Mus musculus: one gene and its partner. The protein of the gene in region 2 purifies or fractionates together with the protein of the main gene of each other region. This does not show direct contact. Links are inferred from orthologs where the notes say so. Each region holds a gene or a part of one and is shown on either strand. Other genes may lie near its edges.

Region 1 (3,749 bases), on a different chromosome or scaffold from region 2:
TCCCTGAAGCTTTCAATGCTCTCTTAGCCGTTACTGTTTCACACAGAGTTCCTTCTAAAGAAAACTTCTAGCCGGGCATGGTGGCACACGCCTTTAATCCCAGCACTCAGGAGGCAGAGGCAGGCGGATTTCTGAGTTCGAGGCCAGCCTGGTCTATAGAATGAGTTCCAGGACAGCCAGGGCTACACAGAGAAACCCTGTCTTGAAAAACAAACAAACAAACAAACAAACACAACAACAACAACAAAAAAGAAGAAGCCTTCTATAAGGGAAAGACAGTGTGCAAACTCCTCTTACAGCTTCACTGACCAAGTGGAAACACTGGAAACCGTCTCAAAAGAAAACACATAGCCTGGACACTGCAACCTTTCCATAGAAAGCATGCAGCATGAGGGAAACTAAAAATTAGGAAATGTTTCCAATTTAGCATGCAAAGAAAATCAAGACATGACAGTACTTGTGTTGCTATTACTGTATCTAAAAAGGATGCCATGGTCAGAAGGAAACAGCTAATGGTGACAACAGCTGACAGGGGTTGTCCTCACAGTAAGATTGCTCTTCTTCATTATGCAACAGCCTTTCCCCAATTATTAGCATCACAGGAGAGAGGGGGGAAGGCATTAGGGTTATTATTAAATATTAGCCAATCACACACAACACTCAATGCCCTATCGTGAGGCATCTTTTCAGTGAAAATCCAAATTAATTAAAGTCTGCAAAGTGATCTGAACTCTCACGGTGTGCACAGTACAATTTACCAATCAGAATCTCTTTTGATGTGTCACTTCATTAGGAAGGTGGGAACAAAACAGTATTAAATGATTCAAGGTGGTAGGGATGCTCGCTAAAGGGAGTGACAAAGTGTGGGTCCTGGACAACACACGTCCTGTACACACTTCAAGGCCAAGAAGCTCTGCCATGTAAGAAGCAGCCTGGTTCAGGAAAAGCCAGAAATTCAGACTGACTGTGAAATCACCTCATTTCTAAGTGTGGTAATAGGATTTTTCTCTTTTAAGGATTCTAAGGACAAACTAAACATCTGCAGACTGGATAATGATGCTGGCTGCCAAAAGAATACTCTATAAGTGCCCTAAGCCAGGAGATGTGTTGACCGTTGGAAGTCAAGTGGCCCTTAGAAGATTCCATCCAAGGGTGCAGAAGTATGTGGGATGAGGAGGTTGAGGAATCCTGACCAATGTTCACCTTGCCTGGAAACTAGCTAACATGCTGAACAGCTTGCTCTGGATTCAGCTGAGGCTCTGGGAAAGTCGTCCTTTCACAATGAGAATAATCAACTCTTCTTTTTCTTTCTTCAGGTTAACACAGCATATGCACATCAGCAGCCACAAAGAAGCTACCAGGAATTTCCACAGACTTGTTTTGGAAGCAGAAACTCCTAGTGACTACACAGCTAGGCATGGCTTTCACTGCGATTACTGTTGTGGTATGTCAACCATACCAGTCCTATCTATCACCTACCTCATTGCTCTCCTGTGGTTTTGGAAGAAGTAAGGAGTCTAAGCCAGAGCCTCTAGAACTCCCCATGATGCCCCTGTGCTGCTTTAAAAGACCTTTATACTACAAGTTCCCTCTGTGCAGAAGCAGCTGTTACCTGGCCACAAAACTGGCAGTCTTGTCGACGATGTTCCTGACCTCCGGGGGAGGGTAAATAATGCCGACCACTGGCTTGGAAGGGGTGGGATCCTCCTTTGACGATGCTTCTTCTTCAATTGGCTGTGAAAACAGAGAAAAGGTAGTAAGGGCTTCAAGTCCCCGGCTCGGATTAGGCTATCATAAACGCTCCATGATACTGACAGGAACGTCTGTCCTGTAGACTGCAGACTCTCTTGGGTTAGCATCCGAGGACGCAGTTAAAAACAAAACAGGGCAAGTTTCCTTAGCCATACTGTATTTACGCAGCCATTCCTAATCTAGGGGAAAGAATGATTTGCTTAGCTCTCCTCTTTTTGAATGGAGGCTTCGTGGTTCACATAAGACCCCAGAGGAAGCCGGGGGTGCAGGTCCGCATGCTGGTTTTGAAAAGTCCGGTTCTAGGGATATCTTTTTCGAGACCAGAAGGCAACTCAGCGCGCTGACTCCTGGGACTTGCAGTCCCTCCATGTCCTTCGGGGTGGCCTGAGCTTCCAGCAGCAGTGCCACAGCGCCCGCGCGGAGGGGAGGAACGAGGCCTCCAGCAGGCCTGCAGGCAGGGAGCGCGGGGCACGATACCTGTTTGGACTCAGTGGCTACTGGCGGCGGCGGGGGTACCGCCTGCACGGGTCCGGCCTGCATGACTGCGACGCTCAGGGCTGCCAGTCCACCTCGGTGGCGACAACCGGTGCGACGACAAGATTAAAGATCACCACACGAAGTATCCAACTCAATGACAAGATGGCGGCGACCCAGAGAGAGAAGCCGCGGGAGCACTTCCGGTCCCGCCCTCTCGCCGTTTCGCACTTCCAGCCCCGCCCCGCCTGCTCCGTGGCGCGGTACGCCGTTGCCAAGGCAGCGGCCTGGGCTCCCAACTTAGAGTTGCGAGGCATTCTCGGAGCCTCAGACGCTCTGGAGGAAGTTCTGTGAGCCAGACAGACACAGAGCTGAGGCTGCGACGCCGGAGACAGGTAAGCCATTCCACATCCTCTGACTCTGAACTTCCCTCCTGACTCTGGCCGGTTCCTCGCCCCCTCAGCGCCCCACCCCTCGCCCCTGTTTCTTTCCTGTTTGGCCTGGCATTTTGAAGATGCCATAGAGTCCCACTTACTACACCTTTAGCCCCATTTTTTGGTTCAGCACCACCTCCTCTGCATCCCTCCTTACAGAGTCCAGGACATGGTGCTAACACCTTTAATTCCAGGAGACAAAAAACGAAGCAGATCTGAGTTCAAGGCCAGCCTGGGACAGAGCAAGTTCTAGATGAAGAAAAGCATAATTCAGGCGTAGTGGTACATATCTTTAATCCCAAGAGACAAAGCCATGCAGATCTCTGAGTTCAAAGTCAATTTCCTGAGCAAGTTTCAGGATAGCCAAGCTTAGGCAGTGAGGGAGTTGAAAAACAGAAAGCTGGTAAGATAATAAAGGGGATCAGGTTCCAGCCACAGGAAGCAGAATTTGGCTGTGTGGCTCTGGCTTTAGAGTCTAGAGTAGAAGGGATTGCTGGGACAGTTGATGCTGGTTAGCTGGAGCTAAGAAATTAGTGATTAAGACGAGACCAGCATCACTGAGGTGAAATCTTCTGGGAAGTGTTTTCTGAGAGCACAAAGAAGCTGTGTTCCAGAGATAGCCATGGTTGTTGCTGCAGCTGTACTTGGCAGTGTGTAAGAGTTACCCAGGCAGTATTAGTTTGAAGGCATGAAGGTGTCATGAAGAGCAGCTGAGGCTTGGCACCGTGAGAGGCCAGGGAAGGCCATTGGTGAAGGTGCAGTTACAGTTACAGTTGATGGCCCAGGACTGAAGGGGTCATGCAAAGGAGTTGAGGCTTGCCCCATGAAGAGAGCCTATGAGAGGCTCTTGGTGAAGCCTAGTTGCAGTGGTAGACCCCAGTGTATTGGAGATGCCAGTACGATAAGATGATAACCAGGAACAGCAGCAGCAGTTGGCTGGAGTCAAGCAGAGCCTAGAGTGCTTCAGAGGGCAGAGCTGGAGAAGTGATGCCAGCCCTTTAGAGGATCCCCAAAAGATCATGTGTGGATCCCAGACATTGGAATAAAAGTTAGATTAAGAAGCTGTAAAGTTGAAGTTGCCTTGGAGAC
Region 2 (3,649 bases):
AAATTTTGTATATTGGGGTGAAAGTCAGGAAAACAGCTTATGGAAGTTCTCTTGTTCTTCCATGCTGATTACTAAGTAGATTCTTTTTACTTTTAACTTAGGGAAGTCACATTACTATATTAAATACTGTCATGACACAGCCTTTTTGTTTTTCACTTTGAACCTACAATTGTGTAGAGTAGTTATGCAGATAATTCCCTAAGCTCATACAACACAGATGGTTACAAATATGATTTTGGGTCTGTTCTTAAAAACCTGTGTTTCTTTGCTCCTTGACTATTTCTTCTGTATCTTGACTTTCTTAACGGGGGCCTTAGCCTGGGAGATTAAAAGGTAGTGGGGTGCTCAAGTGAGATGGAGCCCCCAGGTCTGACCTTCGCTGTCGACTGAGCTTACAGAGAAGTAGAGAGGTAACGTCATGTCTCCTACATATGTTCTTAGGCATATATCGAGCAGTACCAATTCGAGTTAATCCAAGAGTGAGCAACGTGAAGTCTGTCTATAAAACCCACATTGATGTCATTCATTATCGGAAAACGGATGCAAAACGTCTGCATGGCCTTGATGAAGAAGCAGAACAGAAACTTTTTTCAGAGAAACGTGTGAAATTGCTTAAGGAACTTTCCAGGAAGCCAGATATTTATGAGCGGCTTGCTTCAGCCTTGGCTCCCAGCATTTATGAACATGAAGATATCAAAAAGGTAACAATGGACTTTTTAGCTTGGTATTGAGATTTACAGTTACTTAGAATCAAGTAACTAAGATATATTTGCCACTGTTACTGTCTTCTATGGGTAGGAACTGTTCGCCTTAACATAGCAAGGCACTGACCCCTGCCTTGGTTAATAGTTGAGTGCTACTGTTTTGTTGTATATACACTTATCTGTGCTGTGCATATTCATGTTCCTAAACATTGGAGGTTATGTGGGGTCACAACAAGGATTCATGCTGGTCAAGTTGTAGGACAATATTTACTTAGGTTTATAATGGTTAGGAATATGTAGAATGGCCTGAGCACTCTTAGATGATTTTTGGTAATACTTTGAACTTATAAAATAGAAAAGTACCAGCCGGGCGTGGTGGTGCACACCTTTAATCCCAGCGCTCGGGAGGCAGAGGCAGGCGGATTTCTGAGTTCGAGGCCAGCCTGGTCTACAAAGTGAGTTCCAGGACAGCCAGGGCTACACAGAGAAACCCTGTCTCGAAAAAAGAAAAGAAAAGTACCTCTAGAACATAAGCTAAGCATATACAGTACAACAAATGACTGTTTAGATGTATTTATTTGTTTATTTAGGGAATCTTACTTCAGCTCTTTGGTGGAACAAGGAAGGATTTCAGTCACACTGGGAGGGGTAAATTCCGTGCTGAGATCAACATCCTTCTGTGTGGGGACCCTGGCACCAGCAAGTCCCAGCTGCTACAGTATGTGTACAACCTGGTCCCCAGAGGCCAGTACACGTCTGGAAAAGGCTCCAGTGCGGTCGGCCTCACCGCCTATGTGATGAAAGACCCTGAGACCAGGCAGCTTGTCCTCCAGACAGGTGCCCTCGTCCTGAGTGACAATGGGATATGCTGCATCGATGAGTTTGACAAAATGAATGAAAGCACAAGGTCTGTGCTGCATGAGGTCATGGAACAGCAGACTCTGTCCATTGCAAAGGTGAGTGCTGATGTCCACTGTGGCTGCAGGCTCACAACAGTTTGCAGTTACAGTTCTATTTTGAAACTTCTTACGTTAGTTGCTTTTACTCTGTAATATGTAGTGCTTACAAACCTGAGTTTGTGTTAAAGTTACTACCAGTTTGCTTTCTGATTTGAAAAATGTGGCTGGAGGGATGGCTCAGTGGTTGAGAGCAGTTGCTGCTTAGCCTGAAAACCTGGATTTGATTCCTAGCACCCACATGTGGCTCACAACCATCTGTCTTCGGTAACTGCAGTTCCAAAGGATCCAGTGCCCTCTTCTGAACTCTTAAGATTACCAGGCACACATGTAATACACAAACAGGCGTTCAGGCAAAACACCCAGTACATAAAATAATTTAAACTAAAAATGTGGCTGCAGAATAATTATGTCTAAGCTCAATCTTAGACGTGAATCTGAGCGCAGAGTACTATCATTATGCACTGAAGTCAGTGAGACTCTTGGAAAGCAGAACCAGCAGAGCAAATGTCAGATGAAGATGGTTTTCCTCCTCATGGGAGTCAGGAAAAGGCTTTTAACTCTACTTCTTCCTCTGATAGGCTGGGATCATCTGTCAGCTCAATGCGCGCACCTCTGTCCTGGCAGCAGCAAATCCTATTGAGTCTCAGTGGAATCCTAAAAAAACAACCATTGAAAATATCCAACTACCGCACACATTGTTGTCAAGGTACTAAAACATTTTTATATAATAAATGCTTCTGTTTGCTTATTCTTAGAATTGACACCTGGAGATTGAGAAGCGGTCGACAACTGCTATTAGTCTCTATACTGACATTAAACACTGACTCAGATTTGGTTTGTCGGGCCTCATTGGCAAGATTTATGTGTCTTAATTATTTGACTAATAAATTTGCTTTGTTTCTTGTGGTACTAGAGATTTAATGAAAGGCCTCCCATGTGTTAGGCAAGGGCTCTATCACTGAAGTACCTTCCTATGTCCTCAAAACAGTAGAAGGAGTTTTTATCCAAATACAATATCCAATTGTATATTGTATCCATTTCTCAGAAGAGAGTTATAACTTTTTTACTTTGCTCTTACCTAGGCAGGACTAGGGACTGGTCAGCTGGAGAAATGGCAGCTTTCTGTGGGAATATGTACAGTACAGTTGGCTTTAACACCTTTTTTTTTTTTTTTTTTTTTTTTTTAAAGATTTATTTATTTATTATATGTAAGTACACTGTAGCTGTCTTCAGACACTCCAGAAGAGGGAGTCAGATCTTGTTACGGATGGTTGTGAGCCACCATGTGGTTGCTGGGATTTGAACTCCTGACCTTTGGAAGAGCAGTCGGGTGCTCTTACCCACTGAGCCATCTCACCAGCCCCGCTTTAACACCTTTTAAGTCCTATATGTAGGTACGTTTTAGTGTCTCAACTAAGAAGATGGTATTTTTCTCTTGTCAGGTTTGATCTCATTTTCCTCATGCTAGACCCTCAGGATGAGGCATATGACCGGCGTCTAGCTCATCACCTGGTTTCATTGTACTACCAAAGTGAGGAGCAAGTGGAGGAGGAGTTCCTGGACATGGCCGTGCTGAAAGACTACATTGCATATGCCCATAGTACCATCATGCCCCGACTGAGTGAGGAGGCCAGCCAGGCTCTCATTGAGGTAACCAGGCTTATGAAACATAAGTTTGTAACTCTGGATGAGTTATCTGTTTCTCTTAACTTCACTTGGCTTATTTTTAACAAGTAAGAAGTTATAGAAATGTTTTGTCCCATTCCGGGGTTTCTACCCTGCCTGTGATCATTTGGTTCCCAGATAAAAGACACTCAACCTTTATATTTACGTTAAGCCTTAAACAGCACAAGAGCTGGGAAGATAGCTATCCTCTATGCTATTTTGTCTATTTCCCAGCCAATAATCCTACTATATAATTTGCCATGTTTCATCTGGGCTGCTCTTAACTCCAATTAGCCAACCAACGTGGCCATTATTTCCTGA

What was found. Proteins that work in one complex are often made in the same cells at the same time.
Region 1: the proteins of Mcm4 (region 2) and Sf3a1 fractionate together in Homo sapiens (co-fractionation; 3 studies listed by BioGRID, with this or other methods). This does not show direct contact. The link is inferred for Mus musculus from reciprocal best matches to the Homo sapiens genes MCM4 and SF3A1.

Annotation. Positions count from the first base shown.
Region 1 is NC_000077.6:4,159,031-4,162,779, reverse strand, and holds the start of Sf3a1 (splicing factor 3A subunit 1), read right to left. Parts: upstream 2,427-3,749; 5' UTR 2,293-2,426; coding exon 2,230-2,292; intron 1,735-2,229; coding exon 1,613-1,734; intron 1-1,612. UniProt on the Homo sapiens protein: Component of the 17S U2 SnRNP complex of the spliceosome, a large ribonucleoprotein complex that removes introns from transcribed pre-mRNAs.
Region 2 is NC_000082.6:15,627,313-15,630,961, reverse strand, and holds part of Mcm4 (DNA replication licensing factor MCM4), read left to right. Parts: intron 1-441; coding exon 442-701; intron 702-1,294; coding exon 1,295-1,660; intron 1,661-2,241; coding exon 2,242-2,369; intron 2,370-3,105; coding exon 3,106-3,313; intron 3,314-3,649. UniProt on the Homo sapiens protein: Acts as a component of the MCM2-7 complex (MCM complex) which is the replicative helicase essential for 'once per cell cycle' DNA replication initiation and elongation in eukaryotic cells.